3 linked regions of the Callithrix jacchus genome follow. The protein of the gene in region 3 binds, or shares a complex with, the protein of the main gene of each other region. Links are inferred from orthologs where the notes say so. Each region holds a gene or a part of one and is shown on either strand. Other genes may lie near its edges.

Evidence for each region. Proteins that work in one complex are often made in the same cells at the same time.
Region 1: the proteins of PRKAA2 (region 3) and PRKAB2 are in contact, whole or in part, in a crystal structure (PDB 6B2E), measured with the Homo sapiens proteins. The link is inferred for Callithrix jacchus from reciprocal best matches to the Homo sapiens genes PRKAA2 and PRKAB2. Residues at the interface, in NP_006243.2 of Homo sapiens: Gly9, Arg10, Val11, Lys12, Ile13, Thr21, Asn48, Arg49, Val58, Gln66, Gln81, Val82, Ile83, Ser84, Thr85, Pro86, Thr87, Asp88, Phe89, Met134, Met164, Ser165, Asp166, Gly167, Glu168, Phe169, Leu189, Ala191, Glu194, Pro253; in NP_005390.1 of Homo sapiens: Val60, Ser61, Gln64, Glu67, Asp68, Ser69, Thr73, Gln74, Ala76, Pro78, Thr79, Val80, Ile81, Arg82, Ile106, Ser108, Val113, Ile115, Val155, Ser158, Asp159, Phe160, Glu161, Phe163, Asp164, Lys167, Leu168, Gln191, Met193, Tyr194.
Region 2: the proteins of PRKAA2 (region 3) and PRKAB1 are in contact, whole or in part, in a crystal structure (PDB 8BIK), measured with the Homo sapiens proteins. The link is inferred for Callithrix jacchus from reciprocal best matches to the Homo sapiens genes PRKAA2 and PRKAB1. Residues at the interface, in NP_006243.2 of Homo sapiens: Gly9, Val11, Lys12, Ile13, Thr21, Lys29, Lys31, Asn48, Arg49, Arg53, Asp56, Val58, Ile61, Lys62, Ile65, Gln66, Lys69, Val82, Ile83, Ser84, Thr85, Pro86, Thr87, Asp88, Phe89, Phe90, Met134, Met164, Ser165, Asp166; in NP_006244.2 of Homo sapiens: Pro79, Thr80, Val81, Arg83, Thr106, Ser108, Asn111, Val113, Ile115, Gln154, Val155, Asp159, Phe160, Glu161, Val162, Phe163, Ala165, Leu166, Asp169, Ser170, Lys172, Cys173, Pro186, Tyr187, His188, Gln189, Glu190, Pro191, Tyr192, Ala202.

The regions. Positions count from the first base shown.
Region 1 is NC_133519.1:7,290,366-7,294,661, reverse strand, and holds the start of PRKAB2 (5'-AMP-activated protein kinase subunit beta-2), read left to right. Parts: upstream 1-1,361; 5' UTR 1,362-1,503; intron 1,504-1,738; coding exon of another isoform or gene 1,739-1,761; coding exon 1,762-1,917; intron 1,918-4,296. UniProt on the Homo sapiens protein: Non-catalytic subunit of AMP-activated protein kinase (AMPK), an energy sensor protein kinase that plays a key role in regulating cellular energy metabolism.
Region 2 is NC_133510.1:122,778,376-122,782,774, reverse strand, and holds the start of PRKAB1 (5'-AMP-activated protein kinase subunit beta-1), read right to left. Parts: upstream 2,936-4,399; 5' UTR 2,658-2,935; coding exon 2,499-2,657; intron 1-2,498. UniProt on the Homo sapiens protein: Non-catalytic subunit of AMP-activated protein kinase (AMPK), an energy sensor protein kinase that plays a key role in regulating cellular energy metabolism.
Region 3 is NC_133508.1:93,781,015-93,784,657, forward strand, and holds part of PRKAA2 (5'-AMP-activated protein kinase catalytic subunit alpha-2), read left to right. Parts: intron 1-2,566; coding exon 2,567-3,071; intron 3,072-3,643. UniProt on the Homo sapiens protein: Catalytic subunit of AMP-activated protein kinase (AMPK), an energy sensor protein kinase that plays a key role in regulating cellular energy metabolism.

The DNA of each region.
Region 1 (4,296 bases), on a different chromosome or scaffold from region 3:
GGGCATATCTTGTTAGAAATGTGTTACAGTAAACAGTATTCCTGTATCCTTCATTCCACAAATGCTTATGAAAAGTCCATTCTGTACATGAAAAGGAATCAAATCTGGATCTTCTCTCTCCCAGCTGTCAAAGCAGTGCTTCTCACACACGTTAAAATGCACATTCTGAACCCTGGGGCCTCGATTATGAACCCTGGGGCCTCGATTCTGTATTTCTAACAGGCTCCCAGGTGATGCCAACGCTGCTAGTCTGTATAATGCAGAGGAATAAACGTTTCTAGTAGGGAATGAGACATACAAATAACTATAATACAAAGTAAGAATTTGTAAATACCTTAGAGATTTCAGTAATTGTCATAAAAAACCTGGATCCCTCCCAACGCTAGGGCTGTCTTTGCCCTTTTTATACCTTTAGTGTTCTTTCTGACGTTTTCGTTGTTGCTCTCTTCCTTGAATTTTATCTCTTCTGAGGTTTTTCACTGTGTATGCTGTTTCGTAGCCTAGGAGAGTCTTTTCGTCCGACTCCTAAGACTAACATTTTACTAATTTGTCAAGGTCTATCTCCTAAACACTCCATCTTGAATTCTTCCCTGCGACCCCAGTCCAAGGAAGGGCTGACAGTTCCTTCCTTGTCGCTCCCCATAGAACAATTTTTTTTTGTTTTGAGACGGAGTCTTGCTCTGTAGCCAGGCTGGACTGGAGTGCAGTGGTGCGATCTTGGCTCACTGCAACCTCCGCCTCCCGGGTTAAAGCGATTCTCAGGTCTCAGGCTCCTGAGTAGCTGGGACTACAGGCCCGCGCCACCACGCCCAGCTAATTTTAGTATTTTTAGTAGAGACGGGGTTTCACCATGTTGGCCAGGATGGTCTTGATCTCCTGACCTCGTGATCCACCCGCCTCGGCCTCCCACAGTGTTTGATTACAGGCGTGAGCCACCGCGCCGGGAGCAACGACCACTGCTTCCTTCTGCCTGGAGCTGGAAGTCCGTTTTCTTCTTCCCTATGAGGGTCCCACCTGCCAGGTCGCCTAACACGCAGATGCTGCCCAGAAAACGTGCTGGCGCATCTGAGGCCGGGTCGAAAGCCGCTCCGCTCCTCCCGGCACCAAGCACCGGAGTCCAGGGATGCGGCCTCCGAGTGTCATTTGGGGACGTCCCTCCGCCGGGTAGTCTCAGGGGCCCAGCGGTCCAGCCATCCCGGGCGCAGCCTCGCCAGGCTTCACAGGCCCCGCCTGGCGCCCCCTCCTGGCGCTAGAGGCTGCGCGCGGCTGCCCACCATCGAGGCGGCGGCTAGAGAGGCCGGCGGGCCCCGGGCGCCGCGGCTGCGGGCCGCAGGGAACGCGCACGGGGCGGGCTCCGCGCCGCCGGCCTTGTAGCCATTTTAGGAGGAATCACGGATCTGCAGGGCGGGGTGCGGCTTCAATTTCAATAACTTTATTGGTGGCGTGATCTGCAGAACAGCCATCACGTCAGTGGCCCCTGGAGGAGTGAGCGCTTCGCCCGAGGTGACTGGGGTGGGGGCGCCCCTGGCTGTGAGTGCGGGGACGCGGGGGACGTCCCGATAGCAGGGTTCCTGGCTAGCGGCAGCGAGCGCGCCGGGGCATTTGCAGGCGTCCCCGCAGGCCGGGAGAGAGAGGGCTCCGGGGCTCGGCGTCCCTGGGGCGGGGAATCCCTTGCGCGGTCCCACGGCGCAGGGGCGGGGCTGGGGTGTTCACCGCCAGGTGTTGTTCCCCGCGGTAGGTGGTCCCCGCCGAGCTGCAGCCATGGGAAACACCGCCAGCGACCGGGTGTCCGGGGACCGTCACGGCGCCAAGGCTGCACGCGCCGAGGGCGCCGGCGGCCATGCCCCGGGGAAGGAGCACAAGATCATGGTGGGAAGCACGGACGACCCCAGCGTGTTCAGCCTGCCCGACTCCAAGGTAAGTGTCCCACGCGCCCAGCTGGTGGCTGAGCTGCAGCGGGTTGGTTTCCGGGCTCCCGTTCCCTTTCTCGGTTCTTTCCAACGGGGTACTGAACCGGGCGGTGGTTTTTTGAATTAAAGGGATTTTTCCGGGACAGAGGTGTTGGACGGTAATTCCTCTTGCAGTGCCGCCTCAAAATTATAAAGAGAAGGAGTTTTTGTTTTCCTGGTGTTCTGACTACTCTGTTGGCCACAGTTTTAGGATGGGGACAATAGACAGCCTCCCCCACCACCTTGGTTTTTCCTAACATGCACGAGTGCCCTCTTCTATAGCGTTGATGAATTTGTAGTTTGTAAGCTCTGCTGGAAAACTTCAGAAGGCAGGTTGCAGGAGCTGCTGACTATGGGTGGTCTTTCTTTGCCTTGAGGTGGCTAAATGAATTTCTTTTTTTCTGAAAATTTCTGCATCAGTATCATTTTTGCCCTTCTAGCCGTTCTGCTCTTGTGATCTCTTCCCTTTGGCAGGGCTGTGAGCAGCAGCTACCTAGTTATGGAATACTTTCCTCTAGTCTTGGGGACCAATTAAGGACATCATTTGGTTGACTGCTTTATTTTTGTCTCATACTTTATAGTTATGGTTGAGGTTGTGCCACTTTCACGCCCCGCTGCTGCTCCTCAGGTGGGAGAGCAGATGATTCCACGACTTGTTTACTCCCCAGTGGTACTTCAAAATGTTGCGTGGCTAAAAATCCACAACCCAAATCTGCCCTGAAGTCCTTGCCCTCAATTCCAAGTACTTTCAGGAAGAGGGCAACTTATTTTCACTCTGTAAGAAAGGACAGATGGAGCTGATAGCAGTGGTTGCCATTCTGATGTTTCCAATCGCTTTTAGGGTTGTCAGGATGAGATGTATGTAATTCTTCCAAGTAGGCTGACGGGATGAGATGGAAAAATGGAGGGCTTGAGGAGATTGGGGTGTGTTTGATGTTTCTTATCATTTCATCACTTCCCAAGGAACTGGAGCTTTAGAGAGTGAATAGAGGATTATTTGCCATATTGGTAACGCATGGAATTTGGATTCTATGATTGATTTCCTTGGATCTCAATTGATAACATAATCACAGCTGGGCGCAGTGGCTCATGCTTGTAATTCCATCACTTTGGGAGGCCGAGGCGGTCAGATCATTTGAGGTCAGGAGTTCGAGACCAGCCTGACCAACATGGTGAAACCCTGTCTCTACTAAAAATACAAAAAAAAAAAAAAAAAAAAATAGCCGGGCGTTGTGGGGCATGCCTGTAATCCCAGCTACTCGGGAGGCTGAGGGAGGAGAGTCATTTGAGAAGGTGGCCGTGGTTGCAGTGAGTCTAAATGGAGCCACTGCACCTGCACTCCAGCCTGGGCGACAGAGTGAGACTCGGTCTCAAAAAACAAAGAAACCAAAATCACAGACAGAGAAGTGAGAGTGATTAAAAGGAGCCTTTCTTGGGGTTTATTATCCATTCTTTTCTTCCCCTGAGAATTTATTCTGCATCATTTGGGCTTTCTACAAGCCATCTGACTTTATGTCTTTGGAGCTTTCTAAAGGTGATCTGCCTCATTGTATTTTTATCCTTTTCCTATGTTGATGACTCAGGATTTAAATACAGTGTATTTGTCAAACTGTGACTGCAGTAATCGGTGTCCTGATTAAAAGCCAGGTTGCTCTGTCTGATTTGGGGCCTATTTTGGATTATTCTTATCTCTCACCTCAGTCTTGCCTTTTGTGAATTTAGAAAATTATTCAGATAATTTTCAGATTGTCTGAAAATTAGTTCAGATAATTCTTAAGGTCTTACTTAAATCTAAAATTTTATAGTTTTCAATCTGCCCTCTTTACTTCTAACCTCAACATTTAACTGTAGTTCTAATTGTTTTGCCCGTTTTCCTCGTAGTTTTGCTGAGTAACTTGGAGTAAACAGTCTTTCTGCTAGTGAGCTGCATTCATTCCTACCACAGAAATGTCATGTCATAAGTGGAAGGGCTTTCCTCCAAAGCTAGGCATATTAATAGTTTGTAGCTTTCAAATTCTAAACTGAAAATCCTGCCGTAAAAGTAAGTGATAGAAACAGGCAGGGGCTTTGAATGCTTGCCTTTTTCAGTGGACTAGTTCAGTGGTTCCAATCCTGTTTGCATATAAGAATCACCTGAGATTTCTTTAAATACTTTATGGAAAATTTGAAACATTTACAAAGTAGGAGAAACAGCATAATGATGTCTATATACGGGCCACCCAGTCTGAAGAATGATCAGATCTCTAAGGAATGACATCTATACCCCAGTCCGCTATTTCCCCACTAGTTATTTTGAAGCAAATTTCCAGACATTATATCAAATATTATTTTATCTGTAACATTTTAG
Region 2 (4,399 bases), on a different chromosome or scaffold from region 3:
GTAAGTTTCTTAAGGCTTCCCCAGCCAGGTGGAACTGAGTCTATTAAACCTCTTTTGTTTATAAATTAGCCAGTCTCCGGTATTTCTACAGAGCAGTGTGATAACGGACTGATAGACTAGGTGGGTAGTCTAGGTTTGTGTAAGTACACTCTATGATGTTCACACAATGATAAAATCACCTAATGATGTATTCTTCAGAACATGTCCCCATCATTAAGTGACGGATGACTGTACATGAAAATTTAAGAGGAACAATTCTAGAGCTGTCAACTTGAAAATGGGCAAATCCAGATTTTGAGGAAGGGAAAATCTACTCACAAAGTGCTGTCTAGGCACTGGGGAACAAAAGGCAAGACAAAGACTGAACCCTCATTAGGATAAACGACAACCTCCAGTGTGGTAGCCTCTGTATAACTGAGGTATTCCAGAATAAGTGAGAAATAAACTCATTCAACTCTATCTGGGTGATATATATGTAGTCATGCACCTTTTAGATTTTTTTCCTAGTCAGAAGTCAAAGACTTAAAAAGAGCAGGAGGTTCAGGCTGGAAAAGACTCTTAAGGGTATTAAGCAGGTTTCTAGCACCTTCATTTCAAATACTGACCTCAGCTTATCCAAATGATGCCTGCATTCTTTGAATTCTAATAAGATCTACATTATTAAAGAATAACAGACTGGAATCACTTCACACTAACGATAACTCATTATACCCAAAATAAGTGCACTGGCGTAGTTAAAAGAATTTATGGCTTTTTTGGAATCTGGGGCATTCAACCCAGGGCTACATGATTTCAGTAACCTCTGATGAAATGAGAATAGGCGCTGCTTGAAATCATTCCCCATAGATTATGTGTGTGCTCAACACTTCCTGTAGGAGTTTTGGAATAGTAACAGAACAAATACTTCTTGAAGAAAATAGTTTTGATTCTTTTGGTGTCTTCAAGAGCCTTCTTGGGACCAGGGACCAAAATTACTTCCTGGGTAAAGAACAGTCAAGTCATTGGAGAAACATGATTCGAAACGTCACTTTGCACACAGCTCTTCAAGAATGCAACAAATTCAGAAAGCAAGTTCAAACTACATGTTGTAGGGACACACAAAAGCAGCTCCTTTGTAGGAGGCTCAAAACTAAGATCCAAAAGAAAGTGTGAGATGTGATCACTTCACGCTACACGAGGACAAACACAGGTGGAATGAGTTGCCAGGCAATTAAATGGATGATGATTAACATGAAATTGGATACTAACAGGGTATGTCGGGCAGAGGGCAGCTTTATCTTTCCTAAACCTACTTTGTTCCTTGAAACAAGTAGTTCCTTTCAGACATAACACATAAATACCAGCTGCAAGAATCACTAAGTGTCCTTGGATTCGGCCCTGCAGCTGGAAATACCCGCCCTATGAAGGTGGTTAACAGGAGTGTGGTTGAAGCAGGAGTCAAAAGTCACCTGAGGTTTTGATGAATTAAAACAGGCTGCACCAGGAAGAAAAATGTTGGCACGGCTTAAAAGCAATTAAATCCTATTTAAACAACATCAGAAGGAAGTTCCGTAGCTGCTGACTGCCTCCTTTAGATGGACCCTCACTACCCCCGACCTCTAGAAGTCGAATGACTTTTCTATGTCCACTTAAAAAAAAAAAAAAAAAAAAAAAAAAAAGAAGGGTGAGGCTGGGAGCAGTGGCTCATGACTGTAATCCCATCACCCAGACGGGTGGATCGCTTGAGGTCAGGAGTTCGCGACCAGCCTGGGCAACATGGTGAAAATCCAACTCTACCCAAAATACCAAAAATTAGCCGGGCATGGTGGCGCACGCCTGTAGTCCCAGCTACTCGGGAGGCTGAGGCATGAGGATGGCTTGAGCCTGGGAGATGAAGGTTGCAGTGAACCGAGATTGTGCCACTGCCCTCCAGCCTGGGCAACAGAAAGAGATCCGTCTCAAAAAAAAAAAAAGGCCGAACCGGCCAGCACTTTAGGGTGAATCAAGTGTTGACAGAACTGAACACCTCCGGCAACTGCCGTCAGCCGTTCCACGCTTTCAGCTTGTGTATGTACCTGGTTTGCCTCCAAAATGGATAATAAACTCTCTAACTTTTACAAAAGTTGCAGTCTGTGTAAAGGTGAGGGAATTTGTCTCAAAGCGGCGAAATTAATTACACCTAAGAGAAAGGTGGAGGATGGGACTCAAATGCTGTTAGCTCGACTCTCTGAATTAATTAAGAATTGAAACTCTGTCCCAGAGCTGCTTCTCCTTAATGATGTTAAACGAAGTACGTGTCTCCTCCCTTGGGAGGACTTTCTCATATTGCTAATTAGACACAGGTTCCTGGACTGCTAAGAGGGCTCTTACAGGACCATCTGGCTTTTAAGTGCACCGGGTAAGGTACCACCTCCCTCCTCGTTCTGATGGTTTTCGAAAGGATGTGGCGGGAATCTAGTGGAGGGTTCCTCTCCTCAACATTAGTCAATGGGAATTGGATTATCCCACACCCCTCGCACCTTGATTTCCTCGGAGTGGAAGAGGTCGGCATCCTCGGGGCTGTCCATCAGGATCTTGGGCCTGTCCCCATCCTTGGTGCCCCCCGAGCTGTCCCTCCGGGGCGTCTTATGGCCACCATGCCGCTCCAACGCGGCGCGCTCACTGCTCGTGTTGCCCATGATGGGGGGTCTGCGGGGACACGGGGAAGCTGGACGGAGCCTCACTGCAAGAAAGGGACCCTGGGCAAGGGACTCCCGGAACCGCGGGTCCCAAGGAGTCCGCGGAAGGAATTGGAACACCCCCTTGGGCGAGGGTTGAGGCCGGGAGCTGGTTTCAGCCGAGTCACCGGGGCTGCGGGGCTCTCGCAATAGTGCTTTACCCGCCCAGGCAAGCCGCGGCGAAAACCCAAAAGAGCGCGAAGATAAACCGACTCTCAATCGCTCCACCACCCTTCAGCGACTTCCGCTTCCGGCGACTCCGTAAATCTGCCCGGCCTAGGGCGTAGAAGTGGCTGCGGCCGACTAAGCGCGCGACGCTATCTCGATTCTATTTCCGCTTCCGGTCTTGAGCTGTGCGGTTGCAGGTGCCCCTGCGCTGGCTCTGCAGGCCTCGGAGCGCGCAGTCGCAGTCAGCAGCCGCCCGCCTATGGCCCGGCTCAGGACGAGGCTGCTGAGGGCCAGCAGGGGGCGTCCCAGCGCTCCGGTCGTCTGGGCCATTCACACGCTGGGCTGAACATGCCATTAACTATCTTTGCCTACTTCTAGTTGATTCTACACTCTACAGCCAGAGGGATCTTTCTAAAATGCAAATCTAATTAAGAAACCCCTCTTCTTAAAGCCCTTTTAATGCACGCGCTCTCACGCTTTACAATTCATTAGGTTAACCCGGAGCGCTTGTTAAATGCAGCCCCCACTGCAGAATCTTGATTTCTGGAGATTAGGGTCAGGGGTGCAGGCAGTCGTGCAATTAAAGACAAAATGGCAGACCATAAGATCTCTGGAAATCTCTTATATCTAGTAGGTTGGGGGTTGTAAAATGCTGGCGTTATTAGTGTATTATTAAAATGAGTGTTTAATCTTTGGATACATAATTTTGCAAGATACCCTGTAATCACTTCGGAAACATCCTTCTGCGTAAGATGCATTAGCATTTGTCGTTTACCCTAACCAGTGCTTCAACAAGAAGTGCATACAAATACGGTGGTAAAATATTCTCATCTTCTCACTGTCAGTCATTGTCATATTTTGTGTTTTTTTGGGTGTGTGACTATCTCAACATACATTGCATTTGCTGGGTCAGGTCATGCATTTCACCCACTAAACATTTATTTATCACCTGAAAAGTACCAGACATTGTGCTAAGGAAATGAGAAACACAGGATGACTAAGGTAAAGTTTCCTGGAGGGAATTTGGCAGTACGCATCAAAATAAAAAATACACCTTCATTTGACACACAATTTTATTCCTAGGAAACTTCTGCAGAAATAGACACAAGAAAATTATTTACAAGCATTATTTACAAAATATTTACATGCAAAAGCATATTCTAAGATGCACCTGTCACCCCCCACACCCCCACATATTTTAATTTCTGAAATTGGATGCGTTTTACAATCAATGGAATCTTAGATTTGGTGTGAAATAAGGAAATGAAAAACTACAAAATCCTAAAAGTTGTTCAGAGGGAGAATGGCTAAATGAGCGGAATACATTCTTTTTGTAGAATATCTTTTTAAAAAGGAAGAAACAATTTTTAGGTCACTATGGGGAAGTGTCTATGATATTGCAAGGTCCGGAAACAAGTGAGAGAACAATAATGTTCAAGAGCATGAGCTCCGAATTCAGCCTGCCTGGGTTCAGATTCTGGTTTTACCATTTAGTAACAGGCACCTTGTGAAATGGGAATTAAAATAACACCGAC
Region 3 (3,643 bases):
AGGCTTGTGAGTGGGAGATTTCCAGAGAACTGGTAGGTAAGTAAGATAATGACAGTTCTCTTATGGTCGGAGTTTTGGGCAGCTATATACTATTCTGTTCTTCTGTTTTCCCCACCCCAATGCCCCAGTGGTTGTTAAGCTCCTGGTTTTCTCAGCTCTGTGATTATGAGGCTGTTGCATTTCAAGGCTGCCATGGAACTGGACAAAGGGAAATGGACATAGGACAACTTAAAAAGCCACAAATCTCACCTTTCTTACTGAAATTCAGCCATTTTTCTTGAATAGACAGTCTTCAGATTGTTGCAAGCCTTTGATTAATTTCCAGGGTTCTGAAAAAGTTGACTTAGACTGTTTTTACTGGTATTTTGTTTTATGAAATAATAGATTTTTTGAGTTTATTTTGGTGAAAGTGTTTAACTTCTCTACTTGTCATTTAAAAAATATTAGGCAATAAAAAAAATTCTCAAAAAAAAATTAGACAAGTAACATAATTTTTTTGTCTTTTGTTACTTCTTTTGTAGCTGGGTGTGGTGGTGCACACTTGTAATCCCGTGTACTCAGGAGGCTGAGGCAGGAGAATCACTTGAACCCAGGGGGCAGAGGTTGCAGTGAGCCGAGATCACACCACTGCACTCCAGCCTGGGCAACAGAGTGAGACTCTGTCTCAAAAAAACAAAAAAAAAATAGAAAAGATCTATCTCAGTTATTTTTATTGCTAAACATTAATAGGTGCTTAATATTATTGTATAGCAAATAAACACATGAATGAATTTTTGTGTTCATACTTTGTCTATTCATATATTTATTCAGCATTTATTGAGCATTTACTCTGTACTACATAGTGGGATAGAGCTAAATAAGGTGTGGTCACTATTTCAAGAAGCTCTCAGTTTAGTGGGCAAGATCAAGAAAAAACAACTATAAGAATGTGTTGTGATAGAAAAATCTAGTAGCTGTAGAAGTTTTATCTTTGTACATATCCTCAGGGGTTGACACACCATCATTTCTCACTTGGACTATTGCAACTAGCGTCATCATCATCATCAACATTTTTATCTTTTCAATTCAGTTTTTATACCACAAACAAAATGATCTTTACAGAAGGATAATTAGGTTATATTATCCCATCTCTTTAAAATCCTTCAATGATTTTTATCAACCACCGGTTCAAATTGTGAGATTTCCTTTTTATAGCCTCCAATTCTTAGAAGTATCTGATTTCATTTGGCACTCATCTCAACTCATTCTGCTTTCATGATGTTGAGCTCATTCCAGTTCCTAGAGCACAGCACAACTCTTGTTTGTCTCATGGTTTTTGCACATAATGTTTCTTTTGCTGGGAATATCTGTTCCCCAACTATTGGCATAGCTGACTTCTGATCATTCTAGTGTCTGCTTAAATATTACTCAGAGTGGCTTCCCTGATCACCCACTTCTCATTCTAAATTAAACACTCTCATTTTACTCTATGCAATTTCTTCTCCAATATTTTTCTCAGGATTTGCATATTTGTAACTATATTTTCATGTATATTTGTTTAATCTCTATTCAGCTAAAATATAATCTTTGTGAGGAACAGTATTTCTTTTTGTCCATGGTATTTCCTCAGTAAATATTTATGAATAAATTAATCAGTGAATAGAGGACATTCAGTCAAAATATATCTTCATCTGCATTTATCTTATGGGAAGCCCAGTTCTACCAGGTAGGAATAATCTTGAAGGAGTAGTTTGTATTAGATGAAAAGGGTTTGACATTCTAGGATAACAATAGTAACATCAAGTGCAAAGCCCCAGAAGCGTGAGAAAATATGGCTTAAGAAAGCAGTTCTCAAACTTTTTGATTTTAGAATTCCGTAACTCTGAAAAATTATTGAGGACCTCAAGGGGGATTTATTTTAATGTAGGTTATATCTATAAATATTTACTATATTACAATTAAAACTGAGAAATTAAGAAAACATTTAATTTATTTAAAAATATAAACCACTATATGTTAAATAATACATCTTTCATGAAAAATAACTATATCTTCCAAAACAAAAAATAATTGTGAGAAGAGACATTATTTTATATCAAAGACAGCTAGGTTCTCATACCTTCTTCATTCAATCTGTTGCATTATTTCGTGTAGTTGAAGTGTGTAAAGAAGGTATGATCTCAGATAAGTGGTTGGAAAAGGAAAACATTTATTAACACCAACTTTATCAGAAAGTCTTTAAGTATTGGGAAGCTGTTAAACACATACAAATAATACAAAATTTTAAAGTTTTTATTGAAAGCTTGAATTTTATCATTGGCAACAAATATTGCTGGTTGTTTTCCTTAAAGAGATGGCCTTGCTTTTTTCATTTTTGAGAGAATGTCATCTGAATGCCCAAGTCTTTATAACCATAGTTATTCAATGGTAGTGGGTAATTAACTTGCTCAGGGTTACATAGCTAGTAAGTGGCAGAGCTAGGTATAGAGACCAGATCTTTTGGTTGTATTATGTTGTATTGCCCTATGTCTAAATTATTTGGACTTGCCAAAGCATGTCTTACAATAGTGTATTGTGTTTTTCCTAGAGAGCATGAATGGTTTAAACAAGATTTGCCCAGTTACTTATTTCCTGAAGACCCTTCCTATGATGCTAATGTCATTGATGATGAGGCTGTGAAAGAAGTGTGTGAAAAATTTGAGTGTACAGAATCAGAAGTAATGAACAGTTTATATAGTGGTGACCCTCAAGACCAGCTTGCAGTGGCTTATCATCTTATCATTGACAATCGGAGAATAATGAATCAAGCCAGTGAGTTCTACCTCGCTTCTAGTCCTCCATCTGGTTCTTTTATGGATGATAGTGCCATGCATATTCCTCCAGGCCTGAAACCTCATCCAGAAAGGATGCCACCTCTTATAGCAGACAGCCCCAAAGCAAGATGTCCATTGGATGCACTGAATACAACTAAGCCCAAATCTTTAGCTGTGAAAAAAGCCAAGTGGCATCTTGGAATCCGAAGTCAGAGCAAACCATATGACATTATGGCTGAAGTTTACCGAGCTATGAAGCAACTGGATTTTGAATGGAAGGTAGGAAATTACAATGTATTAGGATCATTTGTAGAAGCCATTTTTCTATATGATAAGCTGCTCTGAGCTGCTGAGTTGAGTATTAAGTGCAGTTTTTTCTAGTAATATACCATGCACATTAAAAACAAACAAAAAAATAACCTCTAAGGATGAAAACCAGTTGATGCTGGAAACCAACATTTTGAATTATAGTGTAGTGTTCTTGGTCAAGAAAAAAGTAATCAACTAGAAATCATCTGAGAAAACAGATTACTGGTTTCAGCATGCATCAAAGCGTTGGAAAATCATGAGTGTCTTCAAAGATAGTATGTTTTTACTTCTTTTTTTAGGGAGGTTTTTTCTTTTTTAGGGGACAGAGGCAGGTGGCTGTGATAGCTAGTAATCAATACAAATTATACCATCACACATATTTATTCAGTCAATAAACACTTTTCTCTAAATTGTGATATTCTCTCTTATTTGGCTCGTGCTTTTAATGCTTCTAGTACATTTTCCTTACTCTCAGCCCAAAGTTTACTCTTCTTAAAAATAAGTGCTCAATTTCATTTTAGTTCTATTTGAATATGTGTGTG